Linked DNA regions of Callithrix jacchus. The protein of the gene in region 1 interacts with the protein of each later gene in a pairwise test. Links are inferred from orthologs where the notes say so. Each region holds a gene or a part of one and is shown in the gene's direction. Other genes may lie near its edges. The genes, in order: FHL2, GNG12, RAI2, ITGA7, NRF1, NIBAN1 and CSN2.

Region 1 (3,981 bases):
GGTTCAAGCAATTCTCCTGCCTCAGCCTCCCGAACAGCTGGGATTACAGGCATGCGCCACCATGCCCAGCTAATTTTTGTATTTTCCATAGAGACGGGGTTTTACCATGTTGACCAGGATGGTCTCGATGTCTTGACATCGGCCTTGGCTTCCCAAAGTGCTGGGATTACAGGTGTGATCCACCTCGCCCAGCCCATATACTATTTCTCATTTATTCAGTCCCCTCTTCTGAGCTATTTACGTTGTTTCCAACTTTTCCTAATTTTGAGAAAAAAAAAAAAAAGAGCTTCAAGAAATGTCCTCTGCCCATATACACTATTCTTTCCTCAGGATAAATCTGCAGGCCTAGAATTGTTTTGGTAATGCAGACAGCTCTCACCAAATAATCCTCGGAAGAAGTTGGCCCTCGCCATGGGCGAGTGCCTTTTCAGCATACTCGTAAGTAAGAAATTTCAAAAGAATCAGGAGCTGTTGATATCCCAAATTAGTTTTCTTTCCTCTCCCAGCATATGGCTTTTAAAAGGCTCTGGGAATTTCACTGTTTTAATTTCATAGAGAAAACAATGTGTGGCTCGAGAAACCCTTATAATCATGCATGAGCAGGGAGGAAGGGAGGGAGAGAAATTTCTGCAAATGTATTTCACCCATGGCTTCCCAAATGCCTGCCATTTATTGAGCCTATTGTTCGGGCTTCCCTAACATCCTCTCACCCAAGCAAATGAACTCATAAGCCAAAGAGAAGGTCAGTGAGCTCTTTCCGGAAGGCAGCACTAGGAATCCACATTTCCCAGCTCACAGAGGGGCTGTGGGGCCTGGGGGAAGTGTCCCTCCACTCCTGGGCCTCCATGCCAGGCACCTAATCTGAGGGGTGGACAGAAGTGCAGCTGGGCAGCCTGTTGGAGGTTCTACCTCTTGTTTGCCAAAGTAAGGTCCCTTTCTGGCACTGGTGGCCTTTCCACTTCAGCTACCCTTTGGGTTGCTGGAAAATGTGAGGTCTGAGGTGACCTTGAGGCAGGCAGGACAAATGAGGACATGGCAGCCCTTTCCCTTCTGGGAGCCGAGGCTCCTTTAATGTGGAGGCCTTAAAAGGCATGTAGGAATCAGGGACTGGGTTCTTATCTCCTGAGCCTGGCCAATGTCCAGATGCACCTTATTTATAGCACCACTGACAAGGGCAGCACAGCTGGCTGGCAGCTGCAGAGAAGGTTGGGGCCATCTAACCAGGCCATCTGCCTGCACGGCTGCTGTCCCTGCTCATCGGGCTGGAGGACAGAAGACAGAACCCTGACACTGCAGGTAAGGACCACTGGTTCCCCATGCCCTTCTCTTACCCTTGCCATCCTTCCCAGCCTAACTCTGCAGCAGGCTTGGACAGCAGTTGTGTAGGCATCTTGCTCCATGCACAGGGAGCGTCCCAGGCCTGGGAGGAAGCTCTCAGGCACTGGGAGCTCACTGACCCCAGCAGAAATGCAGGTGGTGCTGGCTGCTGGCTCCTACCAATGGCAAAGCCCAGGAACGGAAGCCACCCTGCCCAAAGATACAGGGTCCTTGGCTTGAAGATAGAGAACCCTGCTCATTGGGAATGAGGAGAGGTTTAAATGAAATTGAGCCCCTGCCTCCACTCAGTGGGAATCCATTTTGAACACCAGAAAACATTTTTTAAGGGGAAAGCAAAAGAAGAAATATTATAAACATTGGAAACGGGGAAAACCACAGTGCACTTGAACTTTTTCTCCCTGACAGAATTTCCGGAAAGCCTGGGCTGAAATGGCAAATTACTGATGAGTCTGATTACTCTGGGAAAGTGTGTTTATACAACATGACTCTTAGTGGCTGATGGTTTGAAAGTCCAGAGAGCTGTTGCATGCTTTAAAAAGGAAATGCATGAATATTTTACAATTTCCAGAGCAGGGCAAACTCTAGGATGTACAGTCCTGAGTAACGCCCTGGCCAATTGTGTAATAATCTCAATACTGATAGGGTGACATATATATGATAATAGACATCATCTATATAAATATCTTCTAGCCAGACTCCATGCAAGACACTTTATCAAGTCTAATCTAAAAAGAAAAGAAAAAGTTGTCAGTCCAGTTTTTGTTTCTAAATTATTCTGAAGTCCGAAGAGTGTTAATAAATACCTGCATTACAGGTTAACGCTGTTGTAGCTCATATTTGCTGTATGTAAGTTTATTTTCATTGTTTTATTTGTTTCTTGAAGAATATTATTTGAATTTTATTTTATTGCTAGGCTTTTACAATTTTATTGATACATGAATAGAATTTACATATGTATGGGGTACATGTGAGTAGTTCAGTACATACACAGAATGTGTAATGATCAAATCAGGGTTTTGGGGTATCCAGGATGGGCTGGAATAAGGTTTATTATATGTTGAGATCATTCTGACCCAAGTTTTTATATTTAATTGAGTAGCTGACTAATCGACTCAAATGATTACATTTTGGAGGCTTTTTCTTATATTAAAAATATTTTAAAATATAACTTCCATGAAAAGTTGCATATTTTCCAACACAGGGTTCCCAGACTGCTCACCCATCACCTGTCTTTTAGAACATTTCTTACTTTTAAGTCTCATTGTTCTATTTAGAGCTTCCAGAGTTCTCCATTGATTTCAGATCCCCGAGGCTAGGCCAAGCCATGCCTCTCACTGCATTCCCATGACCTGAAGCACAGGGATGGACACACTTTCCACTGATCTCTAAAATATTTCATATTTACAATACATGGCCCAGAGACTGATTTTAATTCATTCTCTCTCCACCAAAGAATGAGTTAAAATTATATTGAGTGCTTACATTTTCTTTTTTTACTCTACAAATAATCTACGTTTACTATAAAAAATACAGACCAGCAACAAGAAGAAAATGGAAAATTATATATACTCTTATTACTCAAAAGATAACTATTCTTGCAATTTATTGTTGATTTTAATTATTTATTGATTCTAAGGTATCTTTGACTGAAAGACGTAAACCATTCACTTCATAGATTTTTTTTTTAATCCCACTATGAGATATTTTAAGGTGAATCCAAAAACATTAAGTTATTTGGGAAACTGTAAATTATAATTAACAGAAACATATATACATCAATCAAATTACTTGGTAATCTGCTTTCTGTCCAATTTATGGTCAATGCCTCTTACAGCTGTTTCAAAATCTAATTCCTTGAAAATTGGTTATCTCTATATATCGTTATGACCCATTTTGGTTAGTCAATATATTAAAATATTCATAATAGTTGGATGGATGAAGAGTCAAAGGGCATAAAGATTTAGATAAGATATTTTGTTAGAATATAGCGATATAACATCAGTTCAAAGTATGATCTGGTAATTGATTTCTACACTAGTACTGGTCCCTTTCGAATCATGAAAAATTCAACCATCTTGTGCCTTGATCTACATGCCCCCCCATGCCTTACAAATCTGGTTTACTGATTTTTTTTTATTCCATTGATTTATCAGCACCTCCTCACTTAGTCTCTAATACACTAAAATATGGATGAAAAACAGAAAAGAACCAACATAAGTGCTGAGTAATTTAATGTGTTACAATTTGGGATTTTATTTGAATTTAATGGATACATTTTAGATAGGGAAAAGAGGAATAAAAATTCATTTTAACACAGGACTTTTGTTGCGGTTAAAGAGCAATGCTGAAAAATTAAGCTGAACTAAAACCATCTGAAGCCAACAATTCATAAAACATACTTGATGTGTTTTATTAAGGGGGAGCATACAATTAGGTATTAAGAGGAAAGTGCAAGAATTTCATTCTGCTCTTTTATTATTATTTTATGACTTTTTTTTTTTTCCGAGACAGAGTCTTGCTCTGTCACCCAGACTGGAGTGCAGTGGCACAATCTCAGCTCACTGCAACCTCTGCCTCCCGGGTTTAAGTGATTCTCCTGCCTCAGCCTCCCAAGTAGCTGGAACTACAGGCATGTACCACCAC
Region 2 (4,229 bases), on another chromosome or scaffold:
TCCCAGCAAGGGAAATTAGTGGTATGGCTTAGAAGAGTCTATTCTGTAGTCTGCAGCCAAAACACAAACTCCAGTATGCCACCCTCTCAGTCCCTGTAGTATCAAGCTGTTCTGTTTCAGGTGTATCCTTTGAACTGTGAATATATGTGAATCAGTCAAGCATGTCCCAATGCTCAATAGAACAGGAAATAAAGACCCCTCTGGCAGGCTGTGGCTTGCACCCCAACAACCACTGCCATCAGCAGCTTGCTAAGACCACAATCCTGGGGCAAGGCATGCATTCATACACTTACTCAACCTGTGACACCTCTTCTACATGTGCAAATGATTTCACTAAACCTGATACTTGCCTAGGGGTCAGAAGGAAAGCAAGAGGGAATATCATGCCCTGACTGCAGTCCTTCGTTCTTAGATTCCCCAGGGCCCACTTGTCCTTAGTTGGTGAAACTCAATACACAGACATCCCTCACCAATGCTTTCAGACTCCATTTCAAATGTGGACTCTGCCCACACTGGTTCTAAGTGACCTACTTTGGCCTCACCTCTTTTCTTTCCACCCTGTCAAACAAGAAAGCAGTTACCTAGGGATACTCTAGAAGTCCGCTGAATGGTTTTCTGCACATCCAGCTTCTTTACTCTTTCTGGACTCCAAGAGGGCAAGCCCCCTGTCTGATTCATTTTTATACCTCTCCCATCACCTTTAGCACTGAGCTTGGTACACAGCAGATGCTCGGTAATGTTTGTCAAATGACCCTAGCACGAAATCTATGGAAGTAGAAATGGCTCCTCCATTTACCCAACTTTGAACCCTGCCGGAAAAGACCAACCAAGTCCAATTAATTCATTAGGTAGAACTCTGCCAGGTACTGGACATTCGGAAACAAATTGCACGGGGGTGGGGCAGATGGACGGGAAGCTCATGGTAGGTGGATGTACCACAAACTCAACAATCGGCAGTTACACCTCCACTTTCTGGGAAACATCTCTCCGTGGCCCCAGGGCCCTTAAATGTTACTGTGAGTGTTTTCCTCTGAAGTTTCTGGAGCAAAGCCTAACTTTTGTGTAGGGGTTTGGCAGCGCTCGTCCTCGCGGCCCTGGGGACCGCTGGCACAGGGGCTGGCGAGGCGTTCGCACGCGAAGGAAACTTGCGAGGAGTCGGGGTGGCCCCGCGGAGGGCGGCTCGTAAAGTGGGGGCCCTCCGAGTCCTCGAACTTCAGGTCCTCCATGAGAATTCGGGGAAGGAGGACGACCAAGGACGGCCAGACGTCCACCGAGCTTCCCCAGGCCGGGCCTCGCCCCTCCTCCAGCTGGGCCACCACGCGGGCTCCGCGGCCCGGGTAGGCACAGCCAGGGCGTCTGGGCGGGAGGCAGGGCCGGGCGCGGAGGAAGGAGCCCGGGGCCGCCGCCGCCCCGCCCACCCCAGCGAGGCGGAGCCGGCGCCCGGAGGAGCGAGAGGAGGAGGAGGAGGAGAGGTCGGAGCCGTCTCCTGAAGCCCTTAGTGACCGAGTCCCGGCGGCTACGGCGGGGCAGCGCACCGGCAGACGGGTGAGCACCCAGCGGCAGGCGCGGGTGGCGAGTCGGGTCCCCGCGGGGTCGGGGCGCGGCGCGGGGCGTCGGCCAGCGAGTTCGGGGGCCGCCTCCGAGTCCCGGGTGCTGGGAAGCGAGATGGAGGGAGGGAGCGGAGGAAGGAAGGAAGGAGGGAAGAGTGTCCTGGAGGGCGGGGACTGGTCGGGGCGCTGGGCGCCGGAGACCGGGGGGAGGGGGAAGAAGGGGGCCAGGGGCACCCTGACCAGAGGCAGAAACAGCGCGCGCGCCCTCGACGAGCGGCCGCCCGAGGTCGCGGGAAGCCGGCGCCCCCATGGTTGGGGCTGGGGCTGGGGCTGGGGCTGGGGCTCGGGCTGGGGCTGGGGGTGGGTGGAAAAGCCTCCCCGCCAGCGAGCTCGCCTCTTCGGCAGCCTGCGGCTGTGTGCCCCGCGCCCAGTTGGGAGGCCCGAGTGTTCCCAGCCCTGGCTCGTTGTGGTGCCAGGCGCTGGAGGGCTGACATTTGGGGGCGACAGGGACGCCACGCCCCTTTGCCTACTTTCTACCTCTCGGGACTAGCCGGCGGGAGCGCAGCCTTGGAACCCGCTGGGCGCTGGGGGTCTAGCCGGGAAATAGCGGGTCGCAGAGGGAGTAGCCCACAGGACGCACCCCGCGAGGGACCCCAGAGCAGGGACCCGAGGCTGCCCTTCTGCAGACTGTTTTTGCAGGTGGTAAGGGGGAGGCTGAGGCTCAGTCTTGAGTGATTTTTTTCTTAAAAAAAAAAAAAAAAAAAAAATTATTGCCCGACAATTATCCCGTGGATCAGGGTGACTTCTGTTTTTCATTTTAATTAGGGTATATCAGTTAAAGCTAACTTTAAAACGCTGTCACTTAGCGCCTCCCGTCACCCACTCGTCCCTCGCTTTGCGTGTCCTGTAAACTTGGCTTAAATCATTCATAACTCACGATAAGGAAGCCGTGATTCTGGTTCAAGTCGCCGCGGTGGAGTGAAACTTTGCCTAAGTGGGAGTGAGTGGAGGCACTGCCGCGGCCGGTCATCTGGTGGTCATCCTGCCGGGCGTGGTTGTATACAAACAAGTGGATCGAGAAGGAAATCGCTCCACACCAGAGGTACAAGGGAGGTTCCTGCGCCCACGTGTCAGGACACGTTTAATGGCTGCTCCCAGCGGAAACAAACGGGAATTTATTAGACCTTGTGGAGTTGGACAAACTTCACATGATTAGCTTCCTTCCCATCAGTTACTTCCTCTCCCCCCTGCTGTCTTGGCCGACACAGTTTATATTTCCTGGGGCGGTTGTAGACTCGCCTGAATAGGCCGTCTATAATGAATCTTTTGGCTGTCGTCAGAGGCAGGGTCTGCGTCTGTGCCTTCTCTATTTTAAAAACGGAGTTTGGCTTTGTTTTTAAAAGTGCTAGTCACCAGACTGCACCCTTGCCAGCGCTTCTCAGCTCTCGAAGTAAATTATCGCAGGATGGCGGCCCTCACCTAGGAGAACCAGGAAGGCAGGAAGCGCTAGAACGACGGGATTGAATTTTACTGTTGCCAAAACAATCACATTCAAGTAAGGAGCTGTTATGTTTTTCTTTTTTTTTTTTTTTTTTTTGACCAAATTGTATGTACTAGCAAGCCCCTTTTCTAGTAAACTAACATGTGATTCACACACCCACACGCACAATTTTTAAAGTAATCGAACATTTTACAGAGACTTAAGTGATAAAAGGACTTTCAGATAAAATATTCAGTCCCTTTGCCTTCTCTAATAGTTAATCAGCGCCGTAAAGCCGTGGTTTACGTCCAAAAAATGCTGAACAGTCTACTGCGTGGTTAGACCTTATAAGTAAGGCAGTACTATTTTTGCTATATTTAACCCGCGTAATTTACTAGATATTGAACCCCCAATAGGGCACACAACACTTAGAATTGTATAGAAATATATGAAAATGTGAATCTGTGTTTCCCAAGAGCCTGAAAAAATGGTATTATAAAAATTTCCTGTCCAGAAAGCTCCAATCTTACTTGAAAAACTAGCTCTCTAACAATTAGATTTGTGGATTTGTTTTGTCACTTGTTAGAGAATATCTGTGGTTTGTTAAAAGTGTGAGAGCAAAGGGCTTCCTGGTTAAAAACCTGGAGGAAGTGGTTAGCCAATATCAAATCAGTTTTATTTTTAAATTATTGTTGAAACTTCACTCTCACAGGAAAAAAAAATTCAAATTTAGAAATACGTGATTTATTGTGTTTTGCTTTGTTTTAGAGCTTTATGTCAGCTTAATCTTAACCTAGGAAGGAGAGCTGTGAAAGTCAAGTAAATTTTTCTGAGCCCTAACTTGGAAGAGAAACTTGTTTAACAGTGATTTGGGGTGTTGGCTTTGGAGTCAGACAGACTTAGATGAGAATATTAGCTATTTAACCTTTTTCAGTCTGATTTATAAGATGGGGATAAAAATGGTCTCTAACTGTAGGGCTTTAAAGAAAGTATATGAAACAATCTTTGGAAAACACACTGAACTTAACACAGTACATGGTCAAAATTATTAGATATTTGTCTAGCGTATTCACGCAGCAGGCTACTGGATGGATTGCAAGGGGGCAGCTTGAACCTTCTGGAATTGCTAGGTAGAGCAGTCTCAAATTCCTTGGAAAGTAACTGGTGTGTGTGTGTATGTGTGATGTTTCTACCACAGC
Region 3 (4,097 bases), on another chromosome or scaffold:
TTTCAAAAGAGGAGATTCAGTGTCAAGGAATGGTACTACTTACCAGGGCTGATTTCTCCTTTAGGCCTAGTAGACACAGTGCCTGGGGCTCACTGGACTTTTAAGGACCCACAGAAATCTTTTAATTTCTTTTAAAATAATAAGAAAAATGATTTTTTAGGTTGAAGAAACTGTTTTAATATAAATACTATTATATTCATCTTTACACTAATGCAATTGTAACATGTAATTTGTAATATCTTTCTACAGAGGAAGGAGTCCACAAAGGCACAAGTGCTCAAGACACTCATCATTCAGCCTCATTGACTACCACTTTATGCCTGCAACACAACAGGGTTAGAATAGAGCCTTTTGAACGCAAATTCAGGTTCCCATACCAATTATAAACTGTGTTATAAAACTCAGATTTGATAAGAGGAAAGTCGTGGTTAATACACACAGTATTAGAACTTCAGGGGGCTGGAGACTACCAAGAACAGACAGATTCATTCTGTTCTCTGCTCTGATTAAATAATTTCTGCTCTGCTATTCTCTCTCAAATATCTTCATCCTGTTTCGATTAATAGAAAAAATCTTTACATCTTTGGAGATTCATTAAACCAATTTGGTTGCTTCCTTCGCTGTCTCAAGAATTCTAAGGATTTATTGTTTTCAATTTTAAAATGGTCAATAGTACAACTGACACCTACCACTTATTTGCTGGTCAGCAATGATACAGTCACCGTCCCTGTAACTCCAGTTCTTAGCCCAGTGTCTGGCAAACACTAGGCGCTTAATAAAGGTTTAATAGATTGATACATGAATCACCTCTTGGATGGAAATTACCTTATGTAGGTGGACTAATTTGATCTTTTCTAATCTCCCACCTTGTAAGAAGCATCTTCCACCGGTATCACAATTGTAATTTTCGGGTGATCTCTGGGCTCTTCTTCCCACCTCCCCTGGCTCCATCAGCCAGTCACTTCCTCCCTCCTGGGCTCTGTTCCTCGCTCTTCTCTATCCTGGGGTCTGGAATGGTCCCCAGTCCGCCGGGAGGCAGTAGGGTCCCAGTTCCTCCAGCCGTCCCCGGCGCTCCCCACAAGGTCTCCCCGACACCCCTTCCTCCAGGCACCCCGCGCCGCCCAGGGCCACGCCCTCCCCGTGGGCGAGATCACCTGTCCCTCCTCCGCCGCCGCCTCCTCGGGTACCCTTTCGCCCCCCTCCTGCTCCCCTTCCTCCGCCGCCTCCCCCAAGCCCTCCCCTTCCCCGCCTCCTCCCACCCCTTGGTGTATATAGTAAAGGCCGGGCGCCGCACGCAGACACACACTCGCCCGGACACAGGCGCACACACGCTCACGCACAACCGGCAGCGGCGGCGGCGACAGCGGCTCGGTGACAGCGGCGACGGCGGCTCCCACCGCGGCGCACCCCCTTCAGGCGGCCGGCGGCGAGGCCAGACCCGAGAGTTCCCGCACCCGCGACCACCCCGCGGCTTCCTGGAGGCGGCGGCCGCGATTCCAAGGTAACGGCCGCGGCGCCCCCGTGCGGGCCGGGGTCACCCCCCCCCCCACTCCTCGCGCAGACCTGCCATCAGGACGTAGGGGGCGCGCCGGGCTGGGCGCGCCTGGCGGGGCCCGGCGCCCGGGGAGGGGCCTGCTCCCGGGGGCAGGACGGCGCCCGGAGGCCGGGGCCGGCGGGGAGGGCCGGGCGGGGGCGGGGACGCTGGCCGAGGCCGCCGCCCGTGTGGCGCGCCGGGGCTCCGCTCCCGTTCCCGGCGCCGCGCACTGCCCGGCGGGGCCAGGGACTGCCGGGGAGGCGGCGCCGGCCGGCGGGGCGGGGGCCCAGAAGTGGGTTTCGGGCCGCCGCCCGCACTGGCACCGGGCGCAGAGGGCGGTTCACGGCGGACTCCGAGCCCCGGCACCGCACCGGGCAGTCTCCGGATCTGCCGTTCTGTCCCGGCCGGGAAAACCCGGCGCCTTCCAGGCCCTTCGAAAGATGGATTCTGTTGACGTATCTGGCGGCCCTGGCGAGCCGGGTGGAAAGTTGGGTTTTGCCAGATCGCGCCGGGCTCCTCTTTGTGATGCGCGGCCAGCCCCGCATTCCCCCGGAGCCGGGTGAGTGTGCACCGACGCCCCGGGAGCCCCGGTGCCCCCCAATGCCCAGCCCCGGGGTGGCCGCACCAGCTCGGGCTTTCTGCCATGTTAGGCACAGAGCAACGTTCTCGTTGCATTTTTGCGTGCTTTTCAGTGGCGCCTTTTGCTGTGGAGGGAGTTACTGCTTCTCTCCGCGGTAGCTTTTTCGGGGTTGGGGTTGTGCTCTGTGTGTTTGTTTGTTTGTTTGCCATTTAAAGCCCGACTATTGTTCAGGATAAGCTCCGCCTGGGTGGGGAAATGGCATCCCACCACAGTTGCTGGCGAGGGGTAGAAATGTTGCCAAACAGCTGCTGCTTTGTGTTTCCCTATCAGAAGTCCCTGGAGTAGGTTTGGGGCAGGACGGATGGATGGAGAGAGGGATGGGGCACGGAAGAAGAGGGTGGCTTTGGAGAAGCCGATTGTCAGCGGCACCATGACACTCACTCAGCCTCCCTTTCTGCCTGCCAAACTTTTATGAATATTCCTTTTGTGGCAAAGGGAAGCTTAATGAATTTAGCCCAGTTTTCCAAGAAAAAGCAACCCAGCTCTAACAATGGTTTGAGAACTTAATCAATGAAAAAGGCAGGAGAGGAGGACAAGGAGGCGCCAATACCATATCGAGTATGTGGTTGCTGCTTGCAGAGTCAGGTAGGGGAGAGGTGGGCAGGGCACGGCGCAGCGTCTGGGTGACCATGTTCCAGGAATTGTTGGTAGCTCTCACCTGTGTCCGCTGGTGCCACCCACCGTCGTGCCCCTACATCCTGGGCTGCCCAGAACCTGGCGATGAGGTTTGAGGGGCAGCTTGCGGCAGTGCGCGGGCTGGCCCCCCTCATCTGGCGTTTTTAAGGATGTGTAAATATTTTGCTGAGGATAAGTGACATCAACAGAATGATATTCCGCAGAGCCCGGGTGTGCAGCGATGATAAATAGATATGGCCAAACAAAGTTTTGATAACCGCGTATTCTCATGGCTCTCTCTGTTTCATTTGGGTCTTTGTTTTTGTTGGTTTAGCATTATCTCGCATCCTCTGGTGTGATCCCTTTATTTAGCTGATTCTTGGAAGCTTCTCTTTAGAATAAAGAGAAAAGCAGCCAGCAGGGAGAAAACAATTCTTAGCCTTGCATGAGTCAGGCAAGGTTTTCTGTGCTTTTCCCAGGAAATCTTTCCCACCGTTTTCTAGATGTCTCTCTTGCTCCTTTGGAGTCCTCAGAATTGGTTGTTGGTGGACCGAGAGACTTGTGATAACTTTGAAAATGTGGTGTGGACATGCCTTTGTTACAGTAGAGGGGTGGCAAGGTGGGAGGGGGACAATGTGGAAGGGGACAGTATGGAGGCTAGTTTTCTTCTCAAACGGGAACTTGAGAAGCCAGGGGTGGGCTGGAAGGCAGAGAATCATAAGCTTGGTGGCATCCCAGTTTCCCTGCCCCTTACAAGCCCAGAGAAGCCACCTCCCCCACACCTCACATACACAGTCTCCTTCAAATGGGCACCCGCTTCTCGTCCTGACAGATGCCCACTAGAGGCATCCCCAGGGCAGCCCAGACACTGTGAACCAAGTCAGACTGGAACTTAGGAGTAGTGGCTACTTTGGCACCAGCCCAGGGGACCATTCAGCCACCCGAAGGGGTTCCTTTATGATGAAAAAAAGCCAAGACCTCCAGTGGTGACCTTCTGCCCAGGAAAACCAGTTCATCTGAGGAACATCTGAGCAAATGAAAAGACAGTTTTCCAAGTGATGCTGCTTGCTGGGGTGAAAACTAGGTTTGATAGGCAGTTAGGCAAGGACTGTAAGATACATTTCAAAATCTTGTATCCAGAATACAGAGTCCCTGAGACAGGACCATCTGAACTGCAAGAAAGAAAAATCAAAGACTGGAAGGTGTATGAGGAGCTGTTACTGGGAGTGCTCTAGCTGTAATGACCCAGAAGCTGAGGATAGGACTGGCCTCCCAAATCCATTGACCCAGAATGGAGATAGTCTGGAT
Region 4 (3,500 bases), on another chromosome or scaffold:
GCGAGTGGACCAGATCCTGGAGACACGGGATATGATTGGTCGCTGCTTTGTGCTAAGCCAGGATCTGGCCATCCGGGATGAGTTGGATGGTGGGGAATGGAAGTTCTGTGAGGGGCGACCCCAAGGCCATGAACAATTTGGGTTCTGCCAGCAGGGCACAGCTGCCGCCTTCTCCCCTGATAGCCACTACCTCCTCTTTGGGGCCCCTGGAACCTATAATTGGAAGGGTGAGTCACTCCTCGGGGAGGGGAGAAGGGACCAAAACCTCCTCTCACCTCAGAGACAGGGCTGAGGACAGCACATGGCCAAGCATGACCACGTGTGCACTGCTGTATGGCCCCAGGGCACTGCCATGCCTTCCACCCCATTGAGCTAGTGCACACGCGAATGTGGGGGGTACCACCTTTCCCTTGCATGGCCAAGTGTTCCTCAACATGCTGGCATGAGCCCCAAGTGCACACTGGGCCCGCATGCTCCAACACACTAGCCCACACCTCATCACTGCCATTCCCGTCTCCGCACGCTGCTGCTGGCTGAGCTGACACTCGGTGAGTGTGATGCCACGACTGGGGACCCCAGGAAGCCTGGGTAGGGGAGGGGGTGGAGAGAGGGCTGGAAAGAAGAGGAGGGGCTTCCCCGTGTGCCTGTCTAACTCAGCGTCCAGCCTGAGGGGTGCTCCCTGTGCCCTGCCTCTGGCACTAACAGGACTGTCCTTGCAGGCACAGCCAGGGTGGAGCTCTGTGCACAGGGCTCAGCGGACCTGGCACACCTGGACGACGGGCCCTACGAGGCGGGGGGTGAGAAGCAGCAGGACCCCCGCCTCATCCCGGTCCCTGCCAACAGCTACTTTGGTAGGGACCCCTCCCGGCCCAAAGCCACTCTAATCCTCTGCTCCTCTCTCTTGTCCTCCCTCTCCATGCTCCCATCCTTCTGTCTCCGTTTCTGTCTCTCACCCTGTCTGTCTTTCTGTCTGGCTGTGATCTCTCTGGTTTCTTTTCTCTCTCTACTTCTTCTTCTTTCACCTTTTTCTGGCCTTTCTGTGGCTCTGTCTCCCTACTCTGTGGCCCCCTCTCTGGATGTTCCCTCCCTGGTGTCTCCCCCCACCCCCCACAGGGTTGCTTTTTGTGACCAACATTGATAGCTCAGACCCTGACCAGCTGGTGTATAAAACTTTGGACCCTGCTGACCGGCTCCCAGGACCAGCCGGAGACTTGGCCCTGAATAGCTACTTAGGTTTGTAAGCTCCCACCTCCTGGACTCTAGGGTCGTGGCCCAGCCTCCCCTCCTTCCCCAGGGAACTCGACCTCTGCTGCCTTAAAATCTCCTCTTCCCCAACACACACGCAGGGAGACACACATTGGGCCCAAATTGCAGAAAAGAGCTGGGTCCAGTGACCAGGCCTAAGAAGAGGAGGCCCCAAGGGTGATGGCCTCTGGGGCTGTGAGCCAGGGGTCTCCATAGAAGATCCAGGTGGAGTGAGAGGGCCAGGGCTGAGGATATCCTGGGAAGGACAGTCCTGCCTTCTAGGGAACTTTCCCTGAGGGATGGGTGGTGGGCACATACTGAAGAAAGGGCCAGTGTTGTTGGTAACTTACCATTGTCTCATCTGCGTCCCTCTGCAGAGGAGGAGGAAACCAGGCCTGGGAGATGTTTGGGTGAAGCAGGCTCTCTCTCACTCCCCTTTGCCTCCCCCTCATCCATGCAAAGACTTCCCCTCCCTGCCAGGATGAGGCAGTGGGGGGAAAGAGGTGCACTGGGTGGGACTGGGGCTGGAGAGAGACTGGCCCTCTCCTCTAGCTCCCTGGGTGTGGGTAGGGTGGGGCCGCTGTGCTCAGCCTCCTGCCTGGGCTCCTGGCTTTCTCAGCCATCACCTTTCTCTCTCCTGCGCGGTCCCTGAGGCTGACCTCACTGCACTTTTTGTGCCAAGCTTGTCTCTGGGCCTGGTGGGTATGAGGAGCTGCCAGGCCCTGTGGGGAGGAAGAGCTATCCAGCTGTGGTGCTGATGACTTGGGGGGAAACTATCTTTCTGCTCTTAACTTGGGGGAGGGGCCAGGGGCTAGGGGAACTGTGACTTGGCTCTTAGCCTGTGGGGAGGGAGCAGGGGCCAGGGAAGCTGTGACACACCCCAGCTTCTGAGGCTTGGGGTGAAGACTCAGGGGTAAGTCACCCTTCCCCCAGGTTTCTCTATCGACTCGGGGAAAGGTCTGGTGCGTGCAGAAGAGCTGAGCTTTGTGGCTGGGGCTCCCCGTGCCAACCACAGGGGTGCCGTGGTCATCCTGCGCAAGGACAGCGCCAGTCGCCTGGTGCCCGAGGCTGTGCTGTCTGGGGAGCGCCTGACCTCTGGCTTCGGCTACTCGCTGGCTGTGGCTGACCTCAACAGTGATGGGTGAGTGGGTGCAGGGCTGTGCCACCTCAGGGAGGCTGGGTCCAGGAGGTTTGAGTGGCCTTTGGCACCTCCTGCCGGCTCCTCTGGCCAGGGAGGACCCACACTGAATGTTTCCCTCTCTCCATAGCTGGCCAGACCTGATAGTGGGTGCCCCCTACTTCTTTGAGCGCCAAGAAGAGCTGGGGGGTGCCGTGTATGTGTACTTGAACCAGGGGGGCCATTGGACCGGAATCTCCCCGCTCCGGCTCTGTGGCTCCCCTGACTCCATGTTCGGGATCAGCGTGGCTGTCCTGGGGGACCTCAACCAAGATGGCTTTCCAGGTGTGACTGGGAACTGGAAAGGCTCAGGGGAGGGAGGGGCCCGAGGAGGGATGGGGGAGCCCCTCGGAGGTCAGGGTGTGGTCTTCTGAGGACCCAGGGAGAGAGGGTCCCTGGGCTTCGGTCTGAGCTTTACCATTTCCCAGCTTTCTGACCTTGGCAAGTTACCTAACCTTTTTGCGATAGTAATATCTGCGGGGAGTGGCCAAGAGGATTGAAGATGATGTTTATAGAGTGCCTGGGATTTTGTAGCCTCCCAATAAAATAGAAAACAGACCTGAGTGACTGGGGGAGAGTTGAGGCCTGGACCTTGTCTGTACTCCCAGCCAGCGTGACTGCCTTTTCTTTGTGCCCTGCAGATATTGCAGTGGGTGCCCCCTTTGATGGGGATGGGAAAGTCTTCATCTACCATGGGAGCAGCCTGGGCATTGTCGCCAAACCTTCACAGGTGAAGGGAGTCTGGGATGAGGGAGTGGGTGTGTGGGTGGAATCAGGGCAGCAGAGGCACCAGGGGAGGCAGAGGCCTGTGGGAGGTGGGATTGGGGGAGGCTGACAGCCGGTTCTCTAGGTGCTGGAGGGTGAGGCTGTGGGCATCAAGAGCTTCGGCTACTCCCTGTCAGGCAACTTGGATATGGATGGGAACCAATACCCTGACCTGCTGGTGGGCTCCCTGGCTGACTCTGCCGTGCTCTTCAGGTGAACCCCTCAGCACCTTCTCCCTCCCTGAGGCCGTGAGCCCCTCCCTGTGACTCTGACCCCCACCCCAGGGCCAAATCTGATGCTTAAGAGTGTTTCC
Region 5 (3,500 bases), on another chromosome or scaffold:
GAGGCTGTTCTTTATCAGGTCGAGAAAGGTCCCCTCTTTCTAATTAGCATTTTCTTCTTTAAGACTGAATAATAGGCAGTATGTGTATACCACATTTTTTTACCCATGTATTCATCGATGGTTACTTGGGTTGCTTCCACATTTTGGCTTTTGTGAATAAAGCTGCTATGAACATGGGCGTACAGATGTCTATTCAAGACCCACCCTGCTTTCAGTTTCTTGGTGTATATATCCAGCAGTGAAATAGCTGGATCATGTGGTAGTTCTATTTTTTATTTTTTTTAGGAATTAATATGTAAAATTGTATATACAAGGACACATTTTTATACTGCATTGATGTTTGTTTTATAATAGCAAAAACTTGGAAACATTTGATCAGCAGGCAACTGGCATATAAATTACGACACATGCATATAATAAAGTATTATGCAGCTGTTTAAAAAGATATGGTAGATCTGTATGTTTTGACATGTAACAATGTCCAGATATATTGTAATATGAAAAGGACAAACAATATATATAGTATGAACTTGTTTTTATTTTAAATCTATGTATGTATGCTCGAAATTTATTTTTCAAAAATAATGAACTTCTGGGGTGAGGGGGAGTAGAGATTATAAGTGTGATAGAAGAGCGAACTTTTATTCTTACTGCTTTATAAATTATCATTTTGAGGTTTACAAGAAGCACAGTCTTGATGTTTTTTTTTTAGATAGAGTCTGGTTCTGTTGCCCAGGCTGAAGTGCAATGGCACAACCGTGGCTGACTGCAGCCTCCGACTCCTGGGTTCAAGCAATTCTCCTTCAGCCTCCCAAGTAGCTGGGATCACAGGTGCCCACCACCAGCCATGTTGGCCTGGCTGGTCTTGAACTTCTGACCTCAGGTGATCCACCCACCTGGACCTCCCAAAGTGCTGGGATTACAGGCGTGGGCCACCATACCTGCAAGAAGCACAGTTTTATAAGCAGAAAACCAATTTGAATTTTTGGGAAGAAAGTTGTTTGACCCTCACTTGTCTTTGACATATAAAGAAAATGTTAAGTATTTCAATTATTTACTAAGTGTTTTTATGCCCACAAGGTCAAATGCTAGTCACTGAGATATCTTAAATATCTTTTTATTATTATATTTGAATGTCTTTTTATTATTAAGGGTATCTGTTATTTTGTGATCTGAGGCATAAAATTAGTACAGCGATTTCCATCAAAATGGTTTCATATAAGGAACACCACTGGACCATTTTTATGTCACATTTGAATAGTGCTTCCCATTTCCTATGACTTGGTGTGGCACAATAAGTAGTAAAATGGAAAGTTTGTCAAGGTTCCTCTGCTCTTGAAGAAAATATCTTTAAGCATTGTGTTATATTACACACTGATTCCTGTTCTTTTCCTTTTTCATCTTATAGTAGAACTTCATGGAGGAACACGGAGTGACCCAAACTGAACATATGGCTACCATAGAAGCACACGCAGTGGCCCAGCAGGTGCAGCAGGTCCATGTGGCTACTTACACTGAGCACAGTATGCTGAGTGCTGATGAAGACTCGCCTTCTTCTCCCGAGGACACCTCTTACGATGACTCAGATATACTCAATTCCACAGCAGCTGATGAGGTAACAGCTCATCTGGCTGCTGCAGGTAATGTTGTTTGGATTAGAAGCTCTTCTTTAGTTTTAATTTTTTTGGTTTTGTTTTTTGAGACAGGGTCTCACTCTGTTGCCCAGGCTAGAGTGCAGTGGCACAATCGTGACTCACTGCAGCCTCGATTTTCTGGGCTCCAGTGATCCTCCCATCTCAGTCTCTGGAGTAGCTGGGACTGCTGACATGTACCACGACATCTGGCTAATTTTTGTATTTTTTATAGAGACAGAAATCTCACTGTTTTACCCAGACTGGCCTCAAACTCCTGGGCTCAAGTGATCCTTCTGTCTTGGCCTCCTAAAGTGCTAGGATTACAGGTGTGAGTTACCATGCCTGGCTTTTATCACAGTTTTTTTGAGCCTTGCAGTTATAACTTGAGCCTGTATTATACTGAGACTTGAGGTCTGGGATCACTTACTATTAGTGTTATGGCTTTGGTTTTATTTTTTCATCTGTTCTGCCCGTGTTTTGGCTTTAAACTAAAGCATTTATTCCATTTGCATTAAACAGGATGGCTGACACATATTTAGATTTAAATTTACCTTCTTTTCTATATACTTTCTATTTACCCTATCTGTTTTGTTTACTTTTTTCTTTCTTGGCATTTTCTTTTGTAGTAATTGAAAATTTTGTATTTTTTTTCTTTTTTGTTAGTTTGAAAGTTATAAGCTTTTACTATTAGTGATACCTGTAGAAATTATAGCATACATCCTTTACTTACCAATGTTTTATGTTGACTGGGCTCAGTGGCTCATGCCTGTAATCCCAGCGCTTTGGGAGGCCAAGGTGGGCGGATCACTTGAGCCCAGGAGTTTGAGACCAGCTTGGGCAATGTAGTGAAACCCCATCTCTACCAAAAAAAAAAAAAAATTAGCTGGGTGTGGTGATGTGCTCCTGAGTCCCAAGTACTTGAGAGGCTGTGGTGGGATGACTGATCACTTGAGCCCAGAGGTTCGAGGGTGCAGTGAGCTATGATTATACCACTGCACTACAGCCTGGGTGACGAGTGAGAGCCTGTGTCCAGTTAAAAAGGAAAAGCAAAAAGTTGTATATACTTGGTACTTTTAACCTCTACAGGGTAATACAAATTTCTTAGAACACTTGAATTTCATGCACCCACCATGTATGCTATTGTTGTCCTTTGTATTCATTTTTGGTGTACAGTTGGCCCTCTTTATCTGTGGGTTCCACATCTGCACATTCAACCAATTTTGAATAAAAAAAATTAGGGAAAAAATAAAAAATAACAATGTAACAATTAAAAATAATACCAGTAAAAGGCCAATACAATATAGCAACTATGTATATAGCATTTACATTGTATTTGGTATTGTACTTAACCTACAGGTGGTGTGGAAAGACATGCATAGGTTATGTGCAATACTACACCATTTTATTTCAGGGACTTGAGCATCTGTACAGTTTGGTACCCTTGCCCACGGGGTCTTGGGGGAAGGGAGGGGAAAGTCAAGATCCTGGAACCAATCTCATGAGGATTTGAAAAGACAACTGTATTTTACACACCACAAGACAATATTTTTATTTTATATGTAATGTTAATTTTTTTCCCCTGCATCTCCAGCTGGTCTCCTGAGATGGTTTTTCTTCTGCCTAAAAACACCTCTTAGTATTTGCTTTAGCATGGATCTGCTAGTAGGAAATTCTGTTTTTGCTTGTCTATGAATATTTTTATTTAAACTTCAACCTTGAAGTTTTCACTGAGTATGGAATTCTGGCTTGGTGGTTATTCTTTCCTCGTGTTGAAGGTACTGGTCCACTGTCTTCTGCATTCCACTGTTACTATTGAGAATTCAGCTATTTCATCTAACAGCTACTCTTTTGAAGATTCTCTCCCAT
Region 6 (3,500 bases), on another chromosome or scaffold:
GAAATCGGACTGTTAAGAAATTCTTACCTTTTGGCCAGCATGCCAGGCTTTTGGGTTTCCTTTCCCTGGTGGCCCTAGTGACCCAGCTTGCTGCACCATTGTGCTGGGGGCCAAGCTGCATTGTAAAGAAAAATTAATTTTTTCTTTCTGGCCAGAGCAAAATTCGTGTTATAAAACATAGACATTAGCCACTCTGCTTAGCACCCAATATCCAACTGGCAAGGCTTAAATTTGCCCTCAGATGGCTCCCCTCATCTTTAGTCAAACCTCTTACTAGGAGTTTCAATACATGGGCTCTGGGCAAGATGGTTGCCCTGAGTAACAGAAAAGATAGGAAAAGAAGAAAAAGGAAACTATTGTCTGTGGCAGAGTCGGACAGTGCATCCTGTATAATTCATATGCACCCTGCCTCATTCCCCAGTTCTCTCTCGAGCCTCCATGTTCAGAACCTTTCTCTCTGCCTCCTTCCACCCCACCCACTCCACTGTTTATTTTAAACCTCTAATATTCCCTTTAAAAATGATTTTAAGGTAAGTTTGGAAAACAGAGTGCATTCTGTTGTGACGACATCTGTTGATAGCACTTTAGGGCTTTAGCAGATGAGGTCTGATCCTGGAAGCCCAATGACCTCATCAATTGAGTGCAAACTAGAGTAGGAGGGACCCCAGTTTTTCAAACTGGATACTTCTCCCAGGTCAGGCCTCTGCCTATCCACTTCCCATCCACTAGCACCTGAAGCAACCTGTAGCAGAGGGAAGCCCTGTGGGCCCTGGCAGAGCCTCACAGAACTGTGACGAACTCTGGCTTCCCTTCCAAAGTCCAGGAGTCCAGGGAGCATCCCGACCTCCCTGGGGTTTTTTAAGAGGAGCGTCACTCATTAAAGAAGGTTTTGGAAGCCTGAGAGCCCAGCAGCAACCATGTGTCAGAGTCTGCCTGCCTGGTTCTTAAGCTCTGGAAGTGGGAGCTTAGAGTCTATCAATAGCTTACAAAGACTGGAGTCCCCCTGGGTGCTCCCCTGGGTCTTCCTATCATCCAGTTGGTGTTTCTGCTGGTTTCTGTCCTAGCATTACAGCTGCCCTAGGAACCGGAGGAAAATAAGCCAATTGAAGGTGTCACAGATGTAGGGATCTGAGTAGTGATTCACTTTATCAACATGCATTTGATTGTTTAGAATGTATGTAACATGCAATATGCATGCAATACCACTTCTAAATCTGAGGGTGTTTAATGTTTCCTTTCACCAAACTGCAGCATCTAGACCAGCTTATGAATCTTCCGCTGCATTCCATGAAGATGGAACCTTGTTATACTAAAGTCAACCTGCTTCATGAGCACCTGCAGGATCTCAAGAGCCGCTTCAGATTCCCCCACGTTGATCTGGTGGTTCAGAGGACACAGAACTACATGCAGGAGGTGAGTGTGGCAGGGGCATCCGTGGTGATTAGGTGAGTGTGGCAGGGGCATCCGTGGTGATTAGGGTAGAGAGAGAGCAGAGAAATGGGTGCTGGCCTGTGAGACCAGCTGCTAGCATAGCTCAGGGAAATACATCGCATCTCTTTAGCCGTCATGTTGAGGGAGGACAGGTTCTGTCCTCCACTGGCTTCATCTTCCTTCCATGTGGATGAACATCATAGAGAAGACATAGCTCAGAAAAATAAAGTAGCATTAATTGATAACTACTTGATTTGTCACATTAGTGCTTTAACCTTGGCTCATATTGGAATCACCTGAGGGAAATACTGATGTCTAGGCTCCATCCCCAGTGATTCTGATTCTATACATACCATGTATGTGTGTGTGTGTGTGTGTGTGTGTGTGCATGTGTGTGTACTTTGTTATTGTTGAGATGGAGTCTCACTCTGTCACCCAGGCTGGAGTGCAGTGGTGTGATCTTGGCTCACTGCAACCTTTGCCTCCTAGGTTCAAGTGATTGTCCTACCTCAGCCTCCCGAGTAGCTGGAACTACAGGCATGTGCCACCACACCCGGCTAATTTTTGTATTTTTAGTAGAGATGAGGTTTCACTGTGTTACCAGGCTGGTCTCAAACTCCTGACCTCAAGCGATCTGCCTGCCTCAGCCTCCCAAAGTGCTGGGATTATAGGCGTGAGCCACCATGCCCAGCCTATATGGCTACTTTGTGATAGAACTTCCCTACCCTGATTCCTGCTGCTTCTAATATGCAGCCAGGAATGAGAACCACTGGCTTAAATTAATTCCCTGACGTAATTAACAGTAAACCAATCAATCAAACAATCAGTTACAGCTTCATATTTTAATTTCTTGTGTCTACTTGACAAGTTTCTTTTTATTTTTTTCATAAGGAAACTTTTCCCCAGGAACAGGAATGAATAGCACAAACTCCTTCCATATTATGGTGTTTCCTAAATGAACCAGGGTGTGTTCATGAAAGTGCTAAAGGCCATGCCATTTCACACAGATACTCTAACCAGAGCTTACTGTGGGCCGGACGTGTACCAGATCCCACTTCAGGGAGCTTGAGTGAGGCATATTCTTAGATAAATTCACTACAGTGTTGAAAGTGTGATAAAGGTATGTATTGTGGCCAGGCACAGTGGCTCACGCTTGTAATCCCAGCATTTTGGGAGACCGAGGAGGGTGGATCACTTGAAGTCAGGAGTTTAAGACCAGCCTGGACAGGGTGGCGAAATCCCATGTCTACGAAAAATACAAAAAAATTAGCCAGGTATGGTGGTGTGTGCCTGTAGTCCCAGCTACTCGGAGGCTGAGGCTAAAGATTTGCTTGAACCCTGGAGGCAGAGGTTACAGTGAACCAAAATTGTGCCACTGCACTCCAGCCTGGGCGACAAAGCGAGACTATGTCTCAAAAAAAAAAAAAAAGTATATATTGGATGCTTTGAGATCTCAGGGGAAGAAAGGAACATTTTTTTTTCATAAAAATTACGGGCAGGATAAATGATACATTTTATCTAACCCTTGAGTTGTAAGGAATTAAAGAGGAACAAGGAACAAAATTGGGCAACAGTTTAGCAGAAATCTCTTTCGAAATACTGGACTCTGGTGACGGGAACACAGGCAAAGGTGCCGAGAATAAGATACCTGAACTAATTCTGCTTTCTGACCCATGAGCGTGTCAGCCACTGTCCCCAGCCATCCCTGACCTGCCCCTCTTCCCAGCACTGCAGAGAGAGGAAGGGATGTGCTGCAGAGTGGTTACATCCACTTAAAAGTGGAGGCGCAGCCAAAAACGAGTTGAAGAAGGCTCCCGCCTCATCCCTTAATCAGTGGCTGCAGGTATCAAAGAACAGAAGTGCCCACGGAGGTGACAGAATGCTTGTTCAGTCCCGTGGTTTGGGGTTTTCCAACTTCTTCCTGCTCCCACTGTGGCCATGTAACTTTTTGTTTCACAGCCCTGGTGGTGGGGTGATGTTGCCCTGGATCACCCCTGGAGGAGCCGCCGAGAGGACTCCTCTGTGATGGCCGCTGCTCTCCAGGTCCACGTAGCCAGGCCTGCGGGCGG
Region 7 (2,641 bases), on another chromosome or scaffold:
ATGACTCAAGATAATTTCTTAATCAAAATAAGTGAAAGATTTTCTTCCTCCCTTTTTACTCACTTATCACTGTCTAAAAGAGAGAAATCACTTCATTATGAATGGCAATTATAGCTGAATCAAGGACTTCAACGATTCTTTTTCCTTCTTTCCAGGAGGAACACCAGGATAAAATCCATTCGTCTTTGCAGCCACAGCCTCTAATCTATCCATACGTTGAGCCTATCCCCTACCCTTTCCTTCCACAAAACATTCTGCCTCTTGCTCAGCCTGCTGTGGTGCTGCCTGTCCCTCATCCTGAAATAATGCAAGTCTCTAAAGCTAAAGACACTGTCTATACTAAGGGCAGAATGATGCCCATCCTTAAATCTCCAACGATGCCCGTTTTTGACCCTCAACTCCTGAAACTCACTGCTCCTGAAAACCTGCATCTTCCTCTGCCTCTGTTCCAGCCCTTGATGCACCAGGTCCCTCAGCCTATTCCTCAAACTCTTGCGCTCCCTCCTCAGACTCTTGCGCTTCCTCCTCAGACTCTTGCGCTCCCTACTCAGCCCCTGTGGCCTGTTTCTCAGCCCAAAGTCCAGCCCATCCCTCAGCAAGTGGTGCCCTACCCTCAGAGAGATATGCCTGATGCAGCCTTTTTGGTCAATCAAGAACTTTTACTGGACCCCACCCGCCAGATCTACCCTGTGACTCAGCCAATTGTCCCAGTTCATAAGCCCATTAGTGTAAGTCCAAATTTACTGACTTTGCTGTTTCATTTAAGATGTGTATGTGATGGTAGAATGAAAGAATAAATGTACAGTAAATGAATTTTAAAAAAAGTTTAGTTAAGTGATCCTTAATGCTTACCTATGCAATAGAATCTCCTGGAGAAATATTCCCTTGCAAAACCCAATGCCAATGCCTACCCAGAGATTTTTTTTTTTTAATGAGGGATTGTGATTGACGTATATGCCATATTTCCATGTATATAATGTGTACCTAACTTAACAGTAATTTGAAAATTATATATACATTGACATATAAATATACATATATGTATGTAACTTTGCTAAATTGTGCTTTTTGTTTTGCTTATACTTTAATAAAGAAGTAGTGAAAGACAAATGGAAAACAAATTAAAATAGTGGTCTTTTAGGAGGAGGGAAAAAATAGAGATAGAAGAATGCTAGATTTCTCTGAATGTACCTAGTTTTGGAGTTTTGACTTTGAAACCATGTAAATGTGCCACATAATTAAAGAACACTTAAGTTACAAATCAATCCCAAAAAATAAAAGCAAACAAAAGAAAATAAACTTTAGTTATATTTCAAGTTAGCTTCATAACCACACAAAAATGAAGAATTTCAAGTTACTTCAAAACATAATATTTCACTCTAATCTTTAGAGGGATATCCTCTAAGACAAGAAGAGTATCAAAGTAATCTGAAACGACATTTAGTATTCTTATAATTTATGTGGGCATGTGTATACATGCCTTTGTATGTATACATAGATACATAGATACACACATTAGGATAAAGCGAATAAATAGTATAAGAAAACGAAAAGATATACATATAAAATCAGGCTAGGTGTCATGGCTCACACCTCTTTTTTTTTTTTGAAAGAAAAAAAGGAGAGAAGGAGAGGAAGAAAGCGGAAGAAAAAAGAGAGAGAGAACAGGAATATTGCTTTATTCTAAAAACAGTTATTAATAATGGCCGATCAATATTTTGTGTATTTAAAGTGGAGAGCTCTATAAATATTTATGATTCTTGATATGATTGTTCTGGTTTTCTGTGTAGAGGAAACTGAGTGTTGGGTGGGGGGGAGGGGAAACTATTGTATGAATTCTGATTTAATTAGTCTGTTGAGAATTCTCATTTAGATAAAGTAATTAAAGCTTACAAAAGCTGGAATTAAATTTAATAATATTATTGAATTTGGAACAAAAATGCTAAAAAATGTTCTATCATTTCCCATGTGCACATCTTTTTCACACATGCTTTACTTCACATTGTGTTTTTGCTATAAGTATATATAAAGTCAAAAGATTGAGATGCTTATTTCTCTACTTACAACATTCTTAAGCAAGTTTTCTTACCAGGAAGTTAATTATTGACTTATCTGTATTTGTTTATTTTTTTAAGGTCTAAGAGGATTTCAAAAATAATGTTCCCTCCTCATTTTTGGTAAGTTTTGGGAGTTTGGAGATTAAATTGATCATTTTTACACATGATGTCTTTTTACATTTAATTATCCTAAAGAAGTCCAAGACAGTAAAAATTCCATACATACAAGAAATTTTTCAAATTAATTATCAACTTATTTTCAATGGTTGACTATCACTTACTGAACTGAAATTATCTTTTGCATTTCAAATAACTTTAATTTTATTTATGTACAACTGACAGACTTGACTGGCTTGCTTTCAAGGGCCTGTATACTTACATTTGATTATCATTATTTTTAGGAAAAACAGAATATATGTCTTATTTTATTTTTATAGAAATACATTTGCATTTTGTCAAAAACCTACTTGCAATTTTATTTCTAACCTCGCTTTTATAAACTTTGTATTTACTTAAAATTGTCTTTTAATTCATGAGTCAAAATTACTCCAAGTGTACAGGTTAAAAAGAGGAGAGAATAGCAT

Evidence for each region.
Region 2: the proteins of FHL2 (region 1) and GNG12 interact in binary tests that used the Homo sapiens proteins (3 or more experiments, as listed by UniProt). The link is inferred for Callithrix jacchus from reciprocal best matches to the Homo sapiens genes FHL2 and GNG12.
Region 3: the proteins of FHL2 (region 1) and RAI2 interact in binary tests that used the Homo sapiens proteins (3 or more experiments, as listed by UniProt). The two-hybrid records come from large-scale screens. The link is inferred for Callithrix jacchus from reciprocal best matches to the Homo sapiens genes FHL2 and RAI2.
Region 4: the proteins of FHL2 (region 1) and ITGA7 interact in a two-hybrid assay, tested with the Homo sapiens proteins (2 studies listed by BioGRID and IntAct). The link is inferred for Callithrix jacchus from reciprocal best matches to the Homo sapiens genes FHL2 and ITGA7.
Region 5: the proteins of FHL2 (region 1) and NRF1 interact in binary tests that used the Homo sapiens proteins (3 or more experiments, as listed by UniProt). The two-hybrid records come from large-scale screens. The link is inferred for Callithrix jacchus from reciprocal best matches to the Homo sapiens genes FHL2 and NRF1.
Region 6: the proteins of FHL2 (region 1) and NIBAN1 interact in binary tests that used the Homo sapiens proteins (3 or more experiments, as listed by UniProt). The two-hybrid records come from large-scale screens. The link is inferred for Callithrix jacchus from reciprocal best matches to the Homo sapiens genes FHL2 and NIBAN1.
Region 7: the proteins of FHL2 (region 1) and CSN2 interact in binary tests that used the Homo sapiens proteins (3 or more experiments, as listed by UniProt). The two-hybrid records come from large-scale screens. The link is inferred for Callithrix jacchus from reciprocal best matches to the Homo sapiens genes FHL2 and CSN2.

Annotation. Positions count from the first base shown.
Region 1 is NC_133515.1:15,512,195-15,516,175, reverse strand, and holds the start of FHL2 (four and a half LIM domains protein 2), read left to right. Parts: upstream 1-1,181; 5' UTR 1,182-1,296; intron 1,297-3,981. UniProt on the Homo sapiens protein: May function as a molecular transmitter linking various signaling pathways to transcriptional regulation. Negatively regulates the transcriptional repressor E4F1 and may function in cell growth.
Region 2 is NC_133508.1:105,060,266-105,064,494, reverse strand, and holds the start of GNG12 (guanine nucleotide-binding protein G(I)/G(S)/G(O) subunit gamma-12), read left to right. Parts: upstream 1-1,429; 5' UTR 1,430-1,545; intron 1,546-1,762; exon of another isoform or gene 1,763-3,105; intron 3,106-4,229. UniProt on the Homo sapiens protein: Guanine nucleotide-binding proteins (G proteins) are involved as a modulator or transducer in various transmembrane signaling systems.
Region 3 is NC_133524.1:18,515,301-18,519,397, forward strand, and holds the start of RAI2 (retinoic acid-induced protein 2), read left to right. Parts: upstream 1-1,297; 5' UTR 1,298-1,501; intron 1,502-1,696; exon of another isoform or gene 1,697-2,093; intron 2,094-4,097.
Region 4 is NC_133510.1:63,955,956-63,959,455, forward strand, and holds part of ITGA7 (integrin alpha-7), read left to right. Parts: coding exon 1-227; exon of another isoform or gene 228-548; intron 549-719; coding exon 720-851; intron 852-1,113; coding exon 1,114-1,233; intron 1,234-2,178; coding exon 2,179-2,386; intron 2,387-2,513; coding exon 2,514-2,707; intron 2,708-3,063; coding exon 3,064-3,152; intron 3,153-3,272; coding exon 3,273-3,400; intron 3,401-3,500. UniProt on the Homo sapiens protein: Integrin alpha-7/beta-1 is the primary laminin receptor on skeletal myoblasts and adult myofibers.
Region 5 is NC_133512.1:117,548,523-117,552,022, reverse strand, and holds part of NRF1 (nuclear respiratory factor 1), read left to right. Parts: intron 1-1,408; exon of another isoform or gene 1,409-1,411; coding exon 1,412-1,640; intron 1,641-3,500. UniProt on the Homo sapiens protein: Transcription factor that activates the expression of the EIF2S1 (EIF2-alpha) gene. Links the transcriptional modulation of key metabolic genes to cellular growth and development.
Region 6 is NC_133519.1:42,960,976-42,964,475, reverse strand, and holds part of NIBAN1 (protein Niban 1), read left to right. Parts: intron 1-1,251; coding exon 1,252-1,413; intron 1,414-3,500. UniProt on the Homo sapiens protein: Regulates phosphorylation of a number of proteins involved in translation regulation including EIF2A, EIF4EBP1 and RPS6KB1. May be involved in the endoplasmic reticulum stress response.
Region 7 is NC_133504.1:128,109,302-128,111,942, forward strand, and holds the end of CSN2 (beta-casein), read left to right. Parts: intron 1-155; coding exon 156-728; intron 729-2,135; coding exon 2,136-2,141; downstream 2,142-2,641. UniProt on the Homo sapiens protein: Important role in determination of the surface properties of the casein micelles.